4 linked regions of the Schizosaccharomyces pombe genome follow. The protein of the gene in region 1 purifies or fractionates together with the protein of each later gene. This does not show direct contact. Each region holds a gene or a part of one and is shown in the gene's direction. Other genes may lie near its edges.

The links.
Region 2: the proteins of spt7 (region 1) and tra1 purify together in Schizosaccharomyces pombe (affinity purification with mass spectrometry; 2 studies listed by BioGRID). This does not show direct contact.
Region 3: the proteins of spt7 (region 1) and ngg1 purify together in Schizosaccharomyces pombe (affinity purification with mass spectrometry, with the first as the bait; one study listed by BioGRID). This does not show direct contact.
Region 4: the proteins of spt7 (region 1) and taf9 purify together in Schizosaccharomyces pombe (affinity purification with mass spectrometry, with the first as the bait; one study listed by BioGRID). This does not show direct contact.

Annotation. Positions count from the first base shown.
Region 1 is NC_003423.3:3,261,413-3,267,915, forward strand, and holds spt7 (SAGA complex bromodomain subunit Spt7), read left to right. Parts: upstream 1-1,857; 5' UTR 1,858-1,964; coding exon 1,965-2,538; intron 2,539-2,579; coding exon 2,580-2,779; intron 2,780-2,833; coding exon 2,834-2,872; intron 2,873-2,924; coding exon 2,925-3,026; intron 3,027-3,068; coding exon 3,069-3,207; intron 3,208-3,254; coding exon 3,255-4,498; exon of another isoform or gene 4,499-4,537; coding exon 4,538-4,681; exon of another isoform or gene 4,682-4,724; coding exon 4,725-4,939; exon of another isoform or gene 4,940-4,984; coding exon 4,985-5,306; 3' UTR 5,307-5,463; downstream 5,464-6,503. Other genes in the region: chaperonin-containing T-complex eta subunit Cct7, read left to right, coding at 1-6, 174-1,392; tan1 (tRNA acetyltransferase), read left to right, coding at 5,603-5,674, 5,782-5,892, 5,943-6,099, 6,185-6,390, 6,440-6,503. UniProt on the Schizosaccharomyces pombe protein: Essential scaffold subunit of the transcription coactivator SAGA complex. SAGA acts as a general cofactor required for essentially all RNA polymerase II transcription.
Region 2 is NC_003423.3:1,902,318-1,907,749, reverse strand, and holds the start of tra1 (SAGA complex, phosphatidylinositol pseudokinase subunit Tra1), read left to right. Parts: upstream 1-2,331; coding exon 2,332-5,432. Other genes in the region: ribosome biogenesis protein Yar1, read left to right, coding at 78-518; ubiquitin-conjugating enzyme Ubc7, read right to left, coding at 1,006-1,259, 1,309-1,366, 1,763-1,951. UniProt on the Schizosaccharomyces pombe protein: Essential scaffold subunit of the transcription coactivator SAGA complex. SAGA acts as a general cofactor required for essentially all RNA polymerase II transcription.
Region 3 is NC_003423.3:1,585,565-1,590,226, reverse strand, and holds ngg1 (SAGA complex subunit Ngg1/Ada3), read left to right. Parts: upstream 1-1,828; 5' UTR 1,829-1,884; coding exon 1,885-3,540; 3' UTR 3,541-3,635; downstream 3,636-4,662. Other genes in the region: upstream binding transcription factor, RNA polymerase I specific, Hmo1, read right to left, coding at 1-646, 839-868; transcription factor TFIIA complex large subunit Toa1, read right to left, coding at 3,810-4,662. UniProt on the Schizosaccharomyces pombe protein: Component of the transcription coactivator SAGA complex. SAGA acts as a general cofactor required for essentially all RNA polymerase II transcription. At the promoters, SAGA is required for transcription pre-initiation complex (PIC) recruitment.
Region 4 is NC_003424.3:336,426-340,813, forward strand, and holds taf9 (SAGA complex/transcription factor TFIID complex subunit Taf9), read left to right. Parts: upstream 1-1,876; 5' UTR 1,877-1,966; coding exon 1,967-2,458; 3' UTR 2,459-3,338; downstream 3,339-4,388. Other genes in the region: rcl1 (rRNA processing protein), read left to right, coding at 3-1,094; protein Mcp60, read right to left, coding at 3,682-4,388. UniProt on the Schizosaccharomyces pombe protein: Functions as a component of both the DNA-binding general transcription initiation factor complex TFIID and the transcription coactivator SAGA complex.

The DNA of each region.
Region 1 (6,503 bases):
CGAAGGGTAAGACTTTTAATTTATAGAATTTTTATCTGGGCATTGCTTAACTAGCTTGCTTAGAATAAGTTTTGTAAAGTTTATTATTGGTGCTTTTCGCTATACTTTTTTTATTACTTATTAGAAGGATTTTTAGTTATTTTATATTTGTTCAGTTTACTAATACTTTACAGAAAATTACGAGATCTGTTAACAAAATGCGCATCTACTGCAATGAACTCAAAGCTTATTCGTTCGAATTCTACTTTTTTTACAAAGATGGTAGTTGATGCTGTTTTGACATTAGATCAAGAAGACTTGAATGAAAACATGATTGGTATTAAAAAAGTCCCTGGAGGAGCAATGGAGGATTCACTTCTTGTTAAGGGCGTTGCATTTAAAAAGACATTTTCGTATGCTGGTTTTGAACAACAGCCAAAATTCTTCAAGAATCCCAAAATTCTTTGTTTGGACGTTGAGTTGGAATTAAAGGCCGAGAAAGACAATGCTGAAGTTCGCGTTGATAAAGTTCAAGAATACCAGAATATCGTCGATGCTGAATGGCGTATCATTTTTTCCAAACTTGAAGCGATTGTCGCTACTGGTGCGAAAGTTGTTTTGTCAAAATTGCCCATCGGTGATTTGGCCACCCAATATTTCGCGGATCGTGACATTTTTTGTGCTGGAAGGGTTGCTGCAGATGATTTAAATCGTGTGGTACAAGCAGTTGGCGGCTCCATCCAGTCTACCTGCTCAAATATTGAGGAGAAGCACCTAGGTACTTGTGATACTTTTGAGGAGCGTCAAATCGGTGGTGATCGTTTCAATCTATTTGAAGGTTGTCCCAAGGCCAAGACTTGCACTCTTATTCTTCGTGGCGGTGCTGATCAGTTTATTGCAGAGGTGGAACGCTCGTTACATGATGCTATTATGATTGTTAAACATGCGTTAAAAAATAACTTAGTAGTCGCTGGCGGTGGTGCTTGTGAGATGGAGTTATCTAAATATCTCCGTGATTATTCTCTTACTATATCTGGTAAACAACAGAATTTTATAGCTGCCTTTGCTCGCTCGTTGGAAGTAATCCCTCGTCAGCTGTGTGATAATGCAGGATTCGATTCAACAAATATTTTGAATAAACTCCGTATGCAACATGCCAAGGGTGAAATGTGGGCTGGTGTAGATATGGATAGCGAAGGGGTCGCAAACAATTTTGAGAAGTTTGTTTGGGAGCCTAGCACCGTCAAATCAAATGCCATATTATCAGCAACTGAGGCAGCTACTCTAATTCTGTCCGTTGACGAGACTATTAAAAATGAACCTTCACAGCAACCTCAAGCTCCACAGGGTGCGTTACCTCCTGGCGCTGCTAATAGGATTATGCGTGGTAGAGGTCGAGGAATGCCCCGCTAATAAATTTTCTAGGATTGTATTCTATCTAGATAAAATCAATTAAATCACTTTTTGTTTTGGTTGGACAATTCGTTTTGAATTTCTACCTATAAACAGGGCGTAATGTACTTATTGGTTCTAAATTAGCTATTTTATCTTTATGAGCGCTAGCTACGACTTACAATATTGTTCTGCATCGCGGATTATTTTCTTGTCACTTCACTCACTTTTGCGATATTATATGAACAGTGATTACTAAAAGTTACTAAATTGTTTCATAATTTATAAGGATTTATATGTGATACTTTGATACCTTCCAAATATCTTTTTTTAAGTTCGAAAACTTATAGTAGTATACTGGTATGAAATGGTAAACAGAACATATATTGCTTCATTTCTATCGTTATTTTCAATTGTTACAGTACGTTAAACATATTTCAGGAAATCGCTGTGTATCCATATCCGACGCTAGCGAAACAAACGAGTATGAAACCTTCACATATCTCAAGTGTTATTTTTTATCCATTGTGGTTGTTAATTTAATTTATCACGCGTCATTTATGAACTATTATACATAGGGAAGGAGAATTTGAATGGAGACTAATTTCGAAGATTCAAAGTCGTTGGATGAGCCTGTTCTTCATGACATTGCAATCGCGCTGCTTAAAAATGATTATTGGAGCCTTTATTTGTCCCCAGAACAAAAAAGGAAGTATATTTCTATACTAAATGACACTCTTCTATGGAACCGATTCATTAATGTAATAGAATGGGATAAGTTGTGCGATGAAAAAGACTCGAATGGCAGTAACGATGATGAGGAAGACGATTTAGATATTACTACTTTGTTTCGCTGTCGTTGTATGATATTTGACGCTAAAATAAATCCAGCTTTATTTGATTTAAGTTCCACAAGTTCTGGATCTATTGAGCATGTTGATCATCAAAACATATCCTTAGAAGCTTCGTTGGCCGAGGAAGAAGAAAGAAAGAAGGGAGATGCCAAAAAGTCTGAAGCAACTGGAAGACAACTATTTGATGATGATGATTTTGATGAATCTGATGCCGAAGACTCGTCTAAAGCTACCATTACTCTGGATCTTCAAAAGGATAAATCATTACGAAAAAGCATTATAGATTTGAAATCTGTCGATATAGATGATATGGGTAAGTCATCCCTTAAGTATTCTTATATACTAACATTTTAGATACTTCTGGTTTTGCAGCCATCGAATCAAATAAGGCACTCAGCAATATTAGTTTCAACTATGTGTACTATACTTTAGAAAATGACTCTGAAAATATCAATGAAGTGAAAAAATTTGAAGATGAGGAAGACACATCAACCCCTAATACATCCAGCTTTCAAAACAATTCATCCTCTCTTGATTTATCTGATAATTTATCGGTACGTTATGAAACTTATCAGTTATTTTAATTCCTTTTAATTAACAAAATTTAGCTTAATTCAAAGTTTGGATCACTTACCTCGTCATTTAAGGTATACTTTTAATCACTTTCTAATCTTGTTGTCAACCAAAACTAATACTTAGTATCTACTGCAATATTTGGAGGGAAATAGAAGTAAAATAAATGCCACCGATGCTGATGTGAAGCAATTGTTATCCGATGTTAAAAAAAATAAATCAAAATGGGTATTTAAGTTTTATTTTTTTGCTTGTATTAATGTTTTCTAGGCGAATGATCAAAGAATTGGTCAAGAAGAGCTTTATGAAGCAGCAGAAAAAGTGGTCCTGGAACTTAGATCATATACGGAGCATTCTTTGGCTTTTCTAACCAAGGTCAGCAAAAGAGATGCACCTGATTATTATACTGGTAAGAGTGATTCTAATAACTCTAAAATTCTCATTAACATTTTGTAGTAATTAAGGAGCCGATGGACCTTGGTACCATTTTAAGGAACTTAAAAAATTTACATTATAATAGCAAAAAAGAATTCGTTCATGATTTAATGCTAATTTGGTCGAACTGCTTTTTGTATAATTCACATCCCGACCACCCTTTGCGCGTACATGCCCAGTTTATGAAAGACAAGTCTTTGGAATTAATAAACCTCATTCCTGATATAGTAATACAATCTCGTAAGGATTACGATGATAGTTTAATTGAAGCAGAGCTTGAAAGCGATGAAGAATCAACAGCGGAGACATCAAAACATGTCACTTCTAAAAAGACATCTTCTAGGGGCGGACAAACGCAACAAGCTGTTGAAGTTCATACTGATGCAAATAGCCCCGAAGAAAACAATACTCCTGTTACAAAGAAAGAAGTTGAGACCTCTAAACCTCCTGCTGTTAGCGGTTCAACACCTCCTGTCAATGAAGCGGCCGTTATAGAGAGTTCTAACACTTTAGAAAAAGAACCTTTGTCTGACGTTGCTACTGAATATTGGAAAATCAAAACAAAGGATATTCGTGAAAGCCATATCTTAAATAATCGGCGGATTTTAAAAAGTTTACAATTTATTGAGACTGAACTACCTATGATTCGGAAGCCAACAGCAATGTCAGCTTTTATAGATCGAGAAGTTGCTTATGGAAGTATAGATTGTTTACCTATGGATAAAGGTGATTTTGAACCAATAATGAAATTAGATACTACCCCATTACTTGAGTATGATGTGGGTTCAGGCGTTCCGATGACCGCTGGTAGCGTCTTGGAGACTGAAAGTGAAGAAGACTTATACTTTAGGGACTACTCTCTTTTTGAAATTAATCGCAACACACCTGGTGTACCTTCGTTGATGTACAAAAATATTGCTAAAATGCAAGAAATTCGGAAATTATGTAATAAAATCCAAACAGTTCGCCAGTTACAGCTTCCTCAGCCATTTTATTATGAACATCATAAAAGTCATGTCCCGTTTGCTAACAATGAACCCATCCTTTTGGATATCCCACAAAATTACGATAACATGTCCTCCTTTAAACCATTGGCGCACGATGTATTAAAAAAGCTTTGTACCATTATATTATTCCATGCTGGATTTGAGTCGTTTCAAATGGGAGCACTGGATGCTTTGACCGAAATAGCGGCTGATTACATGGCAAAAATGGGTGCTGTCATGGACCAGTATCTCATTTATGGGAAAGACAAATCTCAACAGGTATTTAATTACGTTATGCAGTTATATTGACCAATTTAGGAAATTGTTGGACAAACCCTAGGGGAATTAGGTGTTGACGATGTGAATGATTTAATTTCATATGTGTATCATGATGTAGAGCGCCAAAGCGTGAAGTTGCTAGAAATACATCAGCGTCTTCAAAGGCATTTTGTTGAGTTATTGGTATGCGAATTTCCTTATTAAGTAGTGTTACTAACCGGATTAGCGTCCTGCACTTTCTGAGCGCAATGATGAAGAAGCGATATTTAACCAAAATGGAGAGTCGTTTGTAACGGGAAATTTTTCGTATGAGACTGGTGATGATTTCTTTGGTCTACGGGAACTTGGTTTAGATAGAGAACTTGGCTTAGATTCACTATCGGTTCCATTGCATTTATTACAAAGCAGATTGAGGTCGAATATGAGTTGGCAACCCGAAGCGTATGTTTATAATATCTTTGAAAGATTTGATACTAATTCATTCAGAACGATAAAGGGTGACCAAGAGTACGCTCCACCTCCAAAATATCCTCCCATCACCGCCGAAAGTATTTCTAACGAAATCGGGTTGATTCAAGGATTTTTAAAGAAGAATCTAGAGGAATTCGGTTTGGATGAGTTGTTGGAAGATGAAGACATAAGGCCAAGGAGCAAACCTCCGCGACCGCGTCTACCTCCGAACGGAAAGATTACCACTGGGAGAAAGCGAATTGCTTCGTCAGTTTTTTTAAATCAATCCTTGAGAAAAAAGCGCTGCCTAAAGGAGAATGAGCAAGGTACTGAGGTAACTACTCTTCCTGAAGAATAGGCCATATGTATTTATTTATAACGTCAAAAACAACTAGTATATAGATGTGTATCAACCACAATGGAGACATAACTTTTAAAACATAATTTTTACTTTAAAAAAGTTTAAAGTTTCTTTTAGTAATAATTATAATGGTTCTAGTTTTGGTTTGGCTTTATGTCTGATGTGTTCTTTAGTAATTATTAATGTCTGAAAAATCGGGGTCCGAATGGCAATTTGAATTTGCAAAATAAAGATATAATATCACTAACATATAACTATTTATTAATTACTCTAGCAACACATTTAACCTAATTATGAGTGCATTGTCCGAAATATTAAGTTACCTAATTATTTCATTTGAGACGAGTTTTACCTTTCACCTTGAAGTATCACATACTGAAATGGGAAAGCGCGAGAACGCTCATAACAGCAGTGAGCGACCTTTTAAAAAGGAAAGGAATCTTTATCAAACAAAGCTAACTATTAAGTATAGTTTAAGTACAAAAGAACAGGGATTGAAAAAAATGAAAGTGGTGTTTTAGTTACTGTTCCTCGCGGTAAAGAAAGACAATCATCGTCTGAGATTCTTGATGTTTTTACTCAGGTATGCAAGACATTTGTCAGGTTAAGGATGCGTAAACTGATGATTAATAGCATATAGCTACTCTTTGGCCAGAAACTCAATCTAGTGATCAAGAAAACGAAGAAGAAGGCGAGGAATTAGAAGATGCAGTTGCTAAGGAGATTAATAGTCTCCAAAAAAAGAACAAAAAAGAACTGTTAACCCCAATTATGCTAGATATGCCTTGTGGTAGGTGCATAAACAGTATAATTTTAGAAGTTTAAGATGTTTATTCGTATTTGAATTATTATGACCGTTTATTAATTTTTTGAAGTTTACTTTGTAAAAACAAGGCCACCAATTGATCCAGTGCGTCTTGTAGAGTTTACTTGTGAAGTTGGGAAAACCAAAAAAATGACTCGATATACACAACGATTGATACCGATTGTAAGAACAACTGGCGTTTCCCTGGATGATCTCGAGGAGCTTGCTAAAAGTCTGATTGACCCGTTATTTCATGAAGGCCAGGAAGGGATTAAGGTAAGTTAGCAATAATATATGGCTTTAGCATACAATAGGCTAACTCCAGGAGTTCGCTGTTCAAGCCAATATCCGAAATCATACAGTCCTAAAAAAAGATGATATATATCGCA
Region 2 (5,432 bases), 1.4 Mb from region 1:
AACGAACAGTTTTCACATCATTCTCTTTCCAAATAAACCGGTAAAACATCCTTCTTTACTGGATTGGATAGTTTAATATGGATGTTGATGATTTAATTTACGCTTGTAGAGCTGCGGATGAGGAGTTACTAGATGAGATTATAGAGAAATGTCCACAAGAATTAAGTCGTCGTGATGAAAATGGTAACTCTGGACTTCATATGGCTAGTGCTAATGGACACATCGCTGTTGTTCAAAAAATAATCCCGTACTTGAATAAAGAAGTAATAAATGCTCAGAATGAGAGTGGAAACACCGCAATGCATTGGGCAGCACTGAATGGACATGCTGAAATTTGCAAATTACTACTGGAAGCGGGAGGTGATCCTCATATTAAGAATATTTATGAGAAGTCACCTATATATGAAGCTGATATTCGAAATCAGCAAAAAGTAATGGACCTTTTTCTGGATTTTGAGATTGCTAAAGGTAGTGAAGAAAACACTGGTGATGAAGAAAAATTGGAAGATGGAATATGATCGTTTTATTTGATAATTTCTGATTTTTATTTTGTAAAAAAATTTACCTCTTTCTTTTGTAGGTTGTGGGAAGCTAATATTTTTATGCACCTGATGCATTTTTTTTTTCTTTTGGAGCATAATTTGGGGTTATTCTTATATTTTGTTAAGTTTTTTACTGTGTAATTTCTAGATGTTTTCTCAATATAATTCGTTTTCAGCGATGTACGTTGCCATGTATCTGTGTAGAAAGTTCAAGTGATGTTTATTAAAAGATGGATTATCTCAATAGACAAAATGTTTATCTTCCATCATTTACAGATAGAAATTGAATTGGAAAAGTGCTTTCATTTTTGTTTAAACCTTGTAATTAAACCTATGTAGCGTTATACGTTGGAATAGAAAGAGAAAAGCCTACCGGTTGCGTTCAAAAATGGAACAAAACTTTATTTCTAGATTTTATCAGGTTCGTTATTCATGGCAATCTAATCAAATATACAATTCATGGTTATAATCCCAAGGTTTTACGAGCCAATCGTCGAACTACACGACAATATTCTTCTCGATCTTCTCTCCACATCTTGCACGCATCGATGTTAGCACCACTTTCATCGTTTGGTTCCGCCAACATCGACATTACCGATAACAGTATTTTTTCAACAGATTGAACAGGAGACCAACGTTCTGAAGACGACTCATACATATTTGGATCGTCACCAGGTGCATGTAGGATGGAAATGCAAACCGTCCCATCTTTGTAAACTGAAATGAAGGTTAGTCTCGAAATTTGGATTAATAGTATCTGGCATACCATTTGGATGGAAAAATTCACACTCAAACTTTAAAGTAGGGGGGCCAAGAGGATAATCCTACATAAAAAAGTTAGAATCCAATAAAAATAAAACTAAGCACGTATCAACGTGCGCTTGAACACCCCGGATGTACTGCCATGCGATTCAAAGAAAGAAACCAAACCCCCAAAAAAAAACTTAGATAGATCTTTTAAATAAAATTTCTTCCTACTCATCAATAAATCGAAGGATTCATCAATTACTAATGAATAAAAGCACTTCTCTTAAATGATCATTCTAAACGAATGGATTATTGAGTTACTTTCTTTATTTACGCTGAACAAATGTTAATTTATGAAAAAGAGCGCGTATTTTTTAATAAGTAGTTGATACATAAAACATGCGAAACATCATACTTATCCACAACTTAAATCACATGTTCAGTCTCCATCAGGTTTATAGTAAAGGACTTACGGAAGGAAATTTCAAGGTAGCAGGGTATAACCCACCTTCAAATGGAGTTCCATCAGGGCCTTGAATTAGGCAATCCCAAGTAAAGAAATCATCCTCATTCGATGGACCTGCAGTAATACCATCAGGCCCATTCTCCGTTAACTCCTTATACTCCTTCATTAACCGTCGCAACGCCATAGCTTTACTCATTTTGGAAATCAATTAACTTACTAATCGGTAAGATATATTAAAGATCACTGACTAAAAGGTAGCCTAAAAATGGTAATGAACAGATTAATGAATGAATGGTTTGTTTACGACAAATTATGCAGCTGAGGCTAAACGAACTTTTGTGGTATCACTCGCTATTTTTATCTCGTTCATCATTTTAGCAACTTCTACCGCACAAAATAATAAGGCCGTTAATTAAAATAGCGAAAACATGTAAAATTCATAAAGTGATTTAGAGGAAAGAAATGCAGCTTGCTCTATCCCACAACATTCCAATAGTAATTGTTAAATACTTAGGAAAACGTATCCGAGTGCAATTGGAATTTAAAAAAGAGCTTGCGCAGAGATCCAAGCATCTGATGGATGTATCACAATGCGAACATTGGCATAATCGGCTTTGTGATGTTGGATTAGACTCGAAGCAAAAGGCAAACACAGCAATTGAAATTCGAGATGCACTGGATGATGTGTTGGTAACTGAAAAGACGAATTTTGAAACTTTCATTCCTCTTTTGGAGGACACGTTGTCTTTGCTTGAAAAGGAACGTCCTGTATTTTCATCGTTAGCAGCTACACATCGTTTACGCATTGCATTGCTTGAATTGCTCAAGAAATCTGGATCCTATAAAGGTTTTGAAGCATTCGTTAATCGGACTTTTGCCGTGCTTCTTCGTATAGTCGTTAATGATAATGAAGAGATGGCAGTGTTGGCATTGAAGCTTGTTGTCCTTCTTTTTAAGGACCACAGTAGCCTTGCTAAGGGACATGTTCAGGAATTTTTATCCATTGTCGTTGAAAACTACAAATCCATGACCACAGTTGTTTCAGAAGCTTTCCCACCTAGATCAGCTCCGAATACTCCATCCTCTCATCCCATGTCTGCTGCATCTTCTGCATCTCCTGCTGAAATTGGAATGGAACATGCAGGTCCAAAAATGATCCCAAAAGCTTCTTCGAGTTTCAAGGTCACTGCTGAATTTCCCATTATCGTCTTTCTCCTATTTCAAACATACAAAGATCTTATTCCGAAAATGCTTCCTTTACTTGCTCCGCTTGTACTTCAATTTATCTCACTTCGTCCTCCACCTCAAGCCGAAGCTCGTCGACTTGCAGAATCTCAAAAAGAGGTTTTTATTGGTGTAGTCCCTTCTTTGCGTCGAAATCATCTTTACAATGACCTTATTTCTGCGCAAATTAAATCATTCTCTTTTCTCGCCTATTTATTGAGAAGTTTTGGTGCTGCTCTTAAACAGTTTGAAAGCTCGATCCCAATATGTACCTTGCAATTGTTCATGGACTGTCCTTCCGAATTATATCAGACTCGAAGAGAACTTTTGGTAGCTACAAGGCACGTCTTATCGACGGATTATTTGAGAGGGTTTCTACCGTATGTAGATCAACTACTTGATACCAAAATTCTAGTTGGTTCTGGAATCACTTCTCAGCATTCATTACGACCCATGGCTTTTAGCATGCTGGCAGATATGCTTCATTATGTGCGTATGGAATTAAGTCCACAACAAATTTACAAAGTCATACTTCTTTATTTCAGTATTTTGATGGACGACTTTTATACTTCAGCTATTCAGGCAATGGCTACAAAGCTTATTTTAAACTTGGTTGAAAGAATTGTTGCACTAGAAGATTTTTCCACTAGCCGATCACTTCTATTTGCTATACTTTTATGTCTCTTAAGAAAATTGACTTCTCTGAATTTCGAGTTTATGAAGCTGAGAGATTCTTTACAGGAAAATGCTGACTTAAAGCAAATTAAAATAGAAGAAAATAAACATGATCTTCCTATGTTTGAGAACCCTACTGGAGCTGCCCAACCTTCAGGTTTGGATAAGCTAAAAGATTGCATATTTCTTTTTAAAAACACCTTATTAGGTATTAAGCCTGTTTTGTTTGGACTAAAGCAACGAAATATTCCTCTTGCCAACGGTTCCATTTTTACAGCTCAGGAATGGTCTGAAAAGTTACATCTTAGTTCAACTAATGAAGTTTTACTGTTTCGAAGATTACTTGTGGAAAGTTTAAAGGGATTCAGTTATTACCAGACAGATGAAAAAACCGGTGTATTCAAGTCCTCGAAAAATCTTGCATACTCTCAACTTGATTCTTCGTTGACCACAAACCCTTCTAAACTCTTAGAAGAGAAGGAGCTCTTAGAAATGTTAGCAACTTTATTTTTACACTTGGACCCATCTGTTTTCGTCGAAATTTTGGAATCCGAGTTTCCGAATATATTTGAGTGTCTAGTAGATAATCTTGCTTTATTGCATATTTTCCAATTTTGGATGTCTAATGAAGTTACTTCTGTCAACTGCACGGGCATCGTGCTGTCTTTTTGCTGTGACAATCTAGCTAAAATAGGGTCTGGCCAATCCACTCGGGTTTCTGTTTTATTGCGATTATTCAAGTTGGCCTTTATGACTGTGAATGTTTTTCCCGAAAAAAATGCAGAAGTCCTGCGTCCCCATATATCCTATATCATTTCAACTAGCCTCGAATTGACTACTGATGCTGTTGAACCTTTAAATTACGTTTATTTAATGAAAGCTTTGTTTAGAAATATCAGTGGAGGAAAATTTGATTCTCTTTACAAGGAAATACTACCACTTCTCCAAGTAATGCTAGAATGTTTCAACAGATTGATTTTTACTGTTACGTCTACATCCCAAAAAGAGCTGTATGCGGAACTTTGTTTGACTTTACCCATTAGACTCAGTGTGTTGTTGCCTCATATGAATTTTTTAATGAAGCCATTGATTGTTGCATTAAAAGGCCCCCCTGAAATAGCTAGTCAAGGGCTTCGAATATTTGAACTTTGCTTGGATAATCTTACTCAAGAATTTTTGGATCCTTTATTGGACTCAATTATGCCGGATTTGCTGATATGCCTGTGGAATCATTCACGCCTTAATCAATCCAATAATCAATTGCATCAAAGTGCTGTGAGAATATTAGGAAAAATGGGTGGTCGAAATAGACAAATATATCTTGGTACCTTTGGCTTTGATTTTTTGCAAGATGAAAATATTTTTCCTTCAATCCAGTTTTCTTTCCAAGGCTCCTCTCAGAATTTTAGCTTAGAGCACTCCAAATTTTTAATGTCTTCATGTGCTGTTTTAAACAATCAAAATTCCGATTTAGAAGAAAAGAAGCAAGCATTTCAAATGGTCAAGAATTCGTATTTATTACTCTTTGCGTCTGCGAAGCCCGATGAAGACTTTTGGGAATCTATTGATACAATGTGCCGAGCAGTTGTAGATCGCATGGATAAAAACTTACAGCAAGTCTCTAATGGTAGGTTGTGCCCTGACAAAGATGAATCTTATTATCTGCAAAGATCTATTGTCTCAAACATTTTTAAATCTTTAGTCGGCTCAATGTCTTGTGTGGAATTTGTAGCTGAAGCTCGAGAAACCATCAATCGTTCTTTGGAATGGCTCATTGT
Region 3 (4,662 bases), 1.7 Mb from region 1:
CTGAAAAGTCTATCAAATCTTTTTTAGTGGGAGAGGATAAGTCTTCTGAAGGTTTAGTAGAAGTTTCCTCAGCCGTAACTCGACTATCAGCAACTGACGCATTTTCTTTAGAAGCATTATAAGCAGCCATTTCTTCTTCGTAGGCTTCTCGAAGTTTAGAAGCTTCTTCTTCGTAAGTTTTCCGATCATCTTCAGATAGCGAGCCCCACTTTTCATGCATCGCTTTATTCACCTCTTTAACATCGTTACTCTTCTCGCCCAAAGACTCCTTGATTTCCGATCGTTGGTTCTTCTGAAAGAGATTATAGGCTGATGGAGGGCGCTTTGGTTGTGCAGGATCCCTAGCCTTGCGCTTGTTTGGGGTCATGGAGGCTACAGCTTCCGACGTATCGACTGCGGAGGTTGCCTCAACAGGAGCTACTGCTGCAGGAGTAGCTTTCTTAGGTGAAGTTGCTTTTTTAGAAGGAGACTCAATTGCCATATTAATCTCTTTCTTCGCATTTGATGGATCAGTGACGGCTGGCTTAAAAGGTTTCGAAACCTCGGACTTCTCTCCTAATATCGAAGGAAGTGATTCTTCGATCTCACGGCATGCGGTTAAAGCTAACTGAAAAGCTTCCGCCAACCTTGTGAAAGAACCAGAAATCTAAGACGGCAATTTGTTAGATAAAAACCAAAAACCAAGCGGATAACTAAAGAAAATTTTGCATTTAATCATCAAACTTTTCAACCAATTAAAAAAGATTATTTTTAGTAAATACTTGATTTAAATCAATTTTTTGAATCATAAAACATTATGTTGGTTCAAAACACCAAAACTCTTTAAAATATCACATACCTTTTCCAGTTGGGTTGAGTTTTGAGCCATCGTACTACTTAAAAAATATTCAAAGTTTCTAATACAACTAAAGCTTCAATACGATGGCAAATACAGGAAATGGTGGCTGACCTACCGGGGTGATGGCGGGAATTTAAATCTTAGCGGTTATGACGGTGGGTGGTTGGTTAATGCTGGAAATGCGAAGCAGATGAAATTGCTTCAGTTAAACCCACCAGTTCGGTTGAGCTTTCTTCACATTTTATTATTATTACAGTTTATAGTTATTTAATATATGTGACAATTGTTATTGTTGAAATTACGATGGTTCAGTGAGATATTTCTTCATGTGATTCTGTTGAGTGATATAATGAAAATTACAAAAGACAATTGTAGTAAATTAAATATATAATAGGAAAATATGAGAAAATCTACAACCGAGAAAAATTTTTTTTTTTTTTTTTTTTTTTTTTCTTTTTCTAATCTCAATCCACTAAATTTGCTGAGACTTACAGTCAAATAATGTCCCATAAATGGAAAGAATAGCAATAAAAACATCCAAAATTTAAAAAAAAAAAATGATAAAACATTTTCTTGTAAATATTTACCTCTTAATTAAGTATAAACAAATCCTATTCCATTGACTCGTAGATCTATTTCATGATATCTTGTGAAGCTGCAACTCTGTTTATCTAGTTCTTGCGCTAGACCAATTGGTTTAGAAACTATTAAATTTAAGATAAATTTAATTTTAAACAAACCAAAGATCACTTATAGTGTTCAAAATACTTCGCAAAGCATATTGCTTTTGCGATGGATTCACTATGAATAAAATATATTGCTGTTTAATTTGGTTTGAGATATCATATTCGTAGCAATTCAACGCTGTTCTTGATTAATATTTCTGAGCACCGTTATAACAATGTAACAAGTGGTATACTAGACTTCGCTAAAAGTACGCCATCATCGAAATCCGGTATAAAAAATCACCACCTCAGTAATGAATTTTTTCGGGGGAGAGAGACATATGTAAATGTTGTATTGTTCACGATTTAAATTTTTTTGGGATGTCCTCCGAACAACAAAATGAAGCTGATTCGAAACCCGCGGTGATTCCTCAATGTTTTAAAATTGAAAATCAATACGAGACCTTTTCCCGTCTGAGTGAAACGTCAACTCCTGGTGTTGTACCGTCTGTGTCGACATTATGGCGGCTTCTGTTTGAGCTGCAAAAAATGATTGAGTGTGAACCGTCTTGTGTAGAATATTTTCGCCAGCGCAAAGAAGAGTTAGAGTCTCATGTCGATTCTGAAATAGAAACCTCAAAAGACGAATCGTCGGTTAATAAAGTGGAAGAAAAAGTAGAAGAATTTAAAGAAGACAACGTTGAACAAGAAATAAAGCAAAAGCGTTCTCTTTCCGAAAGTCCACAAGAGTCTATGCTAGAAAAAGTTTCCAAGAAGCCCAAAGTTTCAGAGGCCCATAATGAAGAAATCAGTCCCGAAAATGTGGAAACAATTGAGAATGAATTAGATTTACCGGTTAAGGGTAAAGATGAACAGACAACTGGGTTGGTATATAAAAACGCAAACGATCTTCTAACCGGTTCATTACTATCTTTCATTGTTGACGATTCCTTCTCTTATGAACAAAAAAAGAAGCTTTTATGTGTAGATTCCTTTCCAACCAGTGATGTACGATCGTTGGTGGCAGGAACTCCGGCGACTGATGATTTTTCTCACAACAAGCCAAATAACCAGATTTCAATATCAACCTTTTATTCGTCACTTGACCCATATTTTCGTGCTTTCAATGATGATGATATTGCTTTTTTAAAAAAAGGATTTGACGTTTCGTCTTCCTATAATATTCCTCCTTTGGGGGAACGCTATTACGATTTAACTCCGGAAGATGAAATGACCAACCTGTGTGCTAACTCAATTTACCAAAACCTGCAAACCTCTGCTCAAGGATCCCTTGAAGCTTTTAATGAGGCAGATACCGTCTCTGAGGAAGTTAGGTGTGGTCCACTCACTGAACGACTAATGGCTTCATTAATTCCTTGCTACACGCAGAATGATGAGGAGCAAAAACCTTCTATTGCTGTTGGCGAATTTGCGGAAACCGATTCTGGATCCGAGAAAAGCAAAATTGGTACAAGCATTGATGGAATCGAGTCAGGAAATAATGAATATACAGAACAACCGGATATACAAGAGTCGAGTCTTTCAATTTGTGAGGACCGCCTTCGTTACACCCTAAAACAACTAGGTATACTTTATGATGGCGATGTAGATTGGTCAAAGCGACAGGATGATGAAATTTCAGCTACCTTAAGGAGTTTGAATGCTCGTTTGAAGGTAGTTTCTGATGAAAACGAAAAAATGAGGAATGCGCTGTTACAGATGCTTCCTGAGGAAATGGCATTTCAAGAATTCCAAAATGTGATGGATGATCTAGATAAACAAATCGAACAAGCGTATGTCAAACGTAACAGAAGTTTGAAGGTTAAAAAGAAACGTATTGTTACTGATAAAATTGGCTCTTCAGCTACGAGCGGCTCTTTTCCTGTCATCAAATCATTGATGGACAAGCGCTCAATGTGGTTAGAAAAGCTTCAACCTTTATTTCAGGATAAGCTTACGCAACACCTTGGTTCGCCAACTTCTATTTTTAATGATTTATCGGACCACACTACATCTAATTACAGTACATCTGTATGAAGCGTTTAAAATTTGAAAGTGTATATACTGTAATTCTATCATTGTGATCTAATTTAATTGCTTGCTTTAGTGAATAAAATTTGCATGAAATAATAATAATACTTTTAACCGTAGAATAGATTGATGTGCTCACTAAAATATGATAGGAAGATTACTTAAATGCACTTATAAACATGATTCATGAAGAAAACAAAAAGGCCAAAAAGAAGAATGATTGATAGATAAAATACGTCCATCACTTTTTGAAGCAAAACACCTAAAGTAAAATTTTAAATCCATTCAAACTCACCATTCGCCTTGAAAAATAAGTAATCTTTTCCATTAACGCCAACTACGCCATCTCTGAACACACATTTCCATTTATTTTTGTGGTGGTTCACTTTGTCATAAAGACAAAGAACGATAGCCTGTCCAATATCAGAACCTTCTTCAGTTTCGGGAGCCTCATCTGAATCAGGATCGTCTAAATCTGAGTTAATTGCTTCGTCAGAAGGCGTATCAACAGGTGGCTTTTTTTCATCTTCGTTATCTTCTATAGTGCCGTCAATTTGCAAAATGCGATTCTTTTTCAAAACTTCATAAATTTCAGCATCAGCTTTCTGTGCAATAGCAAATCTATTACTTTCAAAATTAGAAGGGCTCCCAGCATCATCTAGATCATGAATAGCACCATCGGTTTGAGGCACGTCATTACGAGAATTAGCAGGGGTGGTATTAGAAGACTCTGTCTCTCCTAATTCAGACTTTTTCGGAGAGTTTTGATTGGGAAGTAACAATCCGCCAAATGAGTTAGTAGATGAAGAGTCGGGAGCATGTTCTTGGCCCGTAGAAGTTACATTTGCAGTCGAATGGTCGTTGATAATCGGTGAGTCAGCAGTTTGATTAGTGGGCAGTTGCAATGAGTTAGAGCTGTAAGAAGGGAAGGGGGCAGTATTATTAGGGTTGGACTGTACGTTAGGTATTGCAGAGCTGTCAAACGAAATATTTGTTGCTGACTGGGGGAGAGAGGGAGTAGGTGGAGAATAATAATTTGAATTACCATGTTGCTGCGCAAATGTATCCATCTGCTGAACAGCACGAATAGCGGCTATATTATTAAGTATGGGAGAGTTTGCAACAGCT
Region 4 (4,388 bases), on another chromosome or scaffold:
TGATGTCAACCGGTCAGCTCAAACGCTTTAAAGGATGTGAGTATTTGACGCATCGGTTAGTCCTTGCAACTCTCTCGGGAACTCCGATTCGAGTTGAAGGAATTTACCCAGATGAAGCCGATCCTGGTGTCAAAGATTACCAGGTTTCGTTTTTAAGGCTGTTGGAGAAGTTGACCAATGGCAGTGTCATAGAAATTTCTTACACAGGTACTTCGTTCATATATCGCCCAGGAAATATTATAGGAGGTCGTGTAGTCCATGATTGTCCAACTACCAAAGGGATAGGCTATTTTTTGGAACCAATTCTAATACTTTGTCTTTTTGCAAAAACCCCTACTTCACTTACTCTTACTGGAGTTACTTCCAGTAATGAAGATATTGGTGTCGATGTTTTGCGCACTAGTGTATTACCCTCTCTTCAAAAGCGTTTTCAAGTTGGTGATGAACTTGAGTTGCGCATATTAAAGCGTGGTTCTGCTCCTGGCGGAGGAGGTGAAGTGAATTTTTTATGTCCTGTAATTAAAGAGTCTTTACCTCCCATTCGTCTCTCAGAATTTGGAAGAGTCTTCCGAATCAGAGGAATTGCTTCTTCAACTAGAGTATCTCCCGCTTTTGCAAATCGCTTAGTAGAATCTGCTCGCGGAGTTTTAAATCCTTTTATACCCGATGTTTTCATTTATACAGACGTTCGCCGTGGAGATGAATGTGGTAACAGTCCTGGGTATTCTATCACTTTAGTTGCAGAAACTAATAAGGGTTGCTCTTATGCTGCCGAGCATTGTGGTGAAGCTGGAGAAACACCAGAAGATGTTGGTTCCTTTTGCGCAAAGAAATTATTGGAAGTTATTGAATCTGGTGGTTGTGTAGATCCATATACACAACCTTCAACTTTAACCGGGATGCTACTATCCTCTGAAGACGTTAACACAATAGTTGTGGGTCAACTTGGTATTACTTCGCAATTAGTTGTTTTTCTTCGGGATGTGAAGGCACTTTTCAATTGCGAATATAGATTTAAAGAGCTCGAATCAGGCCAGGTGGAGATGTCATGCTTAGGAAAAGGATATTTAAATGTCAATCGCCGCATTCAATAGAAAACCATTTATCAGTGGGTCCTTTGCTCGTTTATTCTTCTTAAACATCATAACATTACATTTAACATATTGTTCGGGTACTTAAAATGAACGAACGTCTTTTTGATATATATTTACTCTTTAATCGTACTAAGAAGTTCATTACCCATTAACTTCCCATTGCAATTACGACATGAGTATAAAAAAAAAGCACCATACATATTTAGAGATTTAAATACGTTTTTGTGACTCAGTTGTTTTAACGGTCTTGTTATGTTCATTTTCAATTATGGTTTGAATTTTTTTGGTTTCCTTTAAATTACTTGGTTCTGTTTCTACTTCATTCTGCTTTAATATTTCTTTCCCGATGCCTCTTTTTCAGAAAATTAGTTCTTAGATGCTCTTCTCATTTGAAAATCTCAACCTTTTTCCATGTCCTTTTGTAAAAAAAAAACACTGCCAATTTTTAGTAAATTTGTATCATCATTGATTTTGTATGAATGATCCTGTTCGTTTTATTATTTACTAAATGAGAGTTTTTACTTTACGCTGCTTATACTAAAATTTTATGTAACTTCTAAATTATTAACATTGGTGATACTAAAAGCAACTTTGATAGGAATTGCTTTAATGAAATCATTCCTTCTGCATAAATTAAAGTTTGCTTAGATAAATTTTTATGACTCGAAATATTTAGTAATGTATATGTAAAATAGCATTGTTGTAAACTTTCTGAAACAAGCTATTTAGTGGTGTGCAGTGGACTCACGCTAACTTCTGAGTGGATACAATTTGCAACGCTCGCAACGACCATAAATCTTTTTGGGTGGTAAAACAGAAAAATAACGGGAGTCGTATTTGTCTTCGCATATACTTATAGTATTTAATAAATCATGAGTTCTCCAGGAATAAGTGATGAATCTATAAAAGGACCTAAGGACGTTCGTCTGATTCATCTAATACTTAGCTCTCTGGGTGTTCCATCATACTCTCAAACAGTGCCTTTGCAGTTGTTAACATTTGCACATAGATATACACAGCAGTTAATCCAGGATTCACAGGTTTATGCGGAACATTCACGTGGGCAAAATGCTCCAATTTCTGTAGAAGATGTACGTTTAGCTGTTGCTTCTCAAATCAATCACTCCTTCACTGGACCTCCACCAAAAGAATTTTTACTAGAGCTTGCTATGGAGAGAAATCGAAAACCTTTACCCCAAATTCAGCCGTCTTATGGGTTTCGTCTTCCACCGGAGAAGTACTGTTTAACTCAACCCAACTGGATTGTCAGTAATGAAACCCAACAGAATCAACCAAAGGAAGAGAACTCCTCGGATTCACGAATGGAGGAGGATAAACTTGACTTCTCTGTGAAGTCTGAATAAATTTATTTTCCTTTTAAAGTTGTTACTAATGCCGGGGAAGTGCTGATGATTTAGATATATGTAAATATTTTTGAAGCGCTCACGAATCTTTGCAGCAGATGATTATGGTTTTATTTATATGATTTTGTTCCTCCAGAACTTCCTATTTAACTTGCGAAAGCAGGGCGTGGGTAATAAATCGTTTACAGTTATAAGGTACCTGTTTATTTGTTTATTTGCTACGAAATCAGTGTATGGAGCAAAAAAGTATACAACATTTTTAAATTCAGCTCATATTGTACATTACTGTACACTGTATCTTTTATATATGGTACGACATAGAATAGAAAAAAGTGAAAGAGACGGCAACAACATCAGTGACGGCGCGCTTTTTCTTAAAATGTTACAAAAACTGGAGTAATTCATGTAAGGCTGTGAAATTGGCATGAGCTCGTCGAGAGCTTTCTTCAACTACTAGGCTCATTTAAAATTTACACCGCACCAATGTTTCTTTATTACTTACAATTGCCTCTCATCATAACTTTGAAAATACAATTTACCACAATACTAGTGATAACATAATATCATGCATTTTAATTTTCTTTATATGACCTATACAGATCCCCTAAAAAGAATATAGTAGGGATACTCGCACGACAGCTAAAAATATATAAGTTATATAATAATTTTGAATCAGAAGGAAGGCAACGGAAATATCCACACATTTTTTGCGCTCTCGGACATATATTTCATCCGCGTTATTTTCATCATTTTCAAAATCATTTATCTCTCACATACTTCAACCATTTCAAAGCTCACCACAAACCTGTATAGGAAATATAAAGAAACTTGATGCTTTACGTAAACACAATTCAGAACTTACAAAAACACAAAAGTGAAAACTTGGTATTTAAGTCGAAAGTCATACCATTCGTAAAAAGAGTGAAATTATAATGTGTAATAAACACAAGGTAAAACATTATGTTCATTAAACAAAATCAGGAGTTTGATTGTACAATTAGCAACCATATGAGAATAGCCGAATGAAAAGTTTCAAAACAATAAGTATCCATTAACAGAAGTATGACCCATTAACTAGTTTTGAAACTAAAGAATTTTACGAAGGTCAACAACATAATGCAAAATTAAAGCCAATTTCTCTGAATGGATTTAAATCATCATAATCATAAGCTTTTAATAAATTGTAAAAATTTAAAAAACCACGTCGGCATTTTTTTGATACCTTACATCATACCGGGCATTCCACCCATGCCACCCATTCCGGGAGGACCAGCAGGGGCCTTGGACTCTTCAGGAGCATCGACGATGGCACATTCGGTGGTACCCATTAATGAGGCGACTCCACTAGCATCAACTAAACCGGTACGTACGACCTTTAGGGGATCCAAAACACCAATTTCATTTAAATCAACAAAACGATCCTTAGCAATATCATAACCGATGTTAAATTCCTTGCCATAAAGCTCCTTAAGTTTACCAACAATCAAGTTACCCTCTAATCCAGCATTTTCAAGAATGGTTTGAGCGGGACGAGTGATAGCTTTGCGAACAATTTCGACGCCAAGCTTTTGATCAAAGTTATTTGTAGGAATGTCTCCTAAGCGAAGACTAGCCTTAACAAAAGAGGTACCAGCACCTGGGAGAACACCCTCGGAAACAGCAGCCTTAACAGCATTCAATGCATCAACAATACGGTCTTTCTTCTCGTTGACTTCAACTTCACTGGAGCCTCCAACCTTAATAACAGCAATACCACCGCTCAATTTGGCCAATCTCTCTTGAAGCTTTTCTTTTTCGTATTCAGTGAGATTAGGGTCGGCCATGACACCACGAATCTGTTCACAACGGTCGTTAACTTTAACATGGTCACCAGCACCTTTCATAATGATAGTGTCTTCCTTGGTGACAGTTACAGAGCCACAGCTACCCA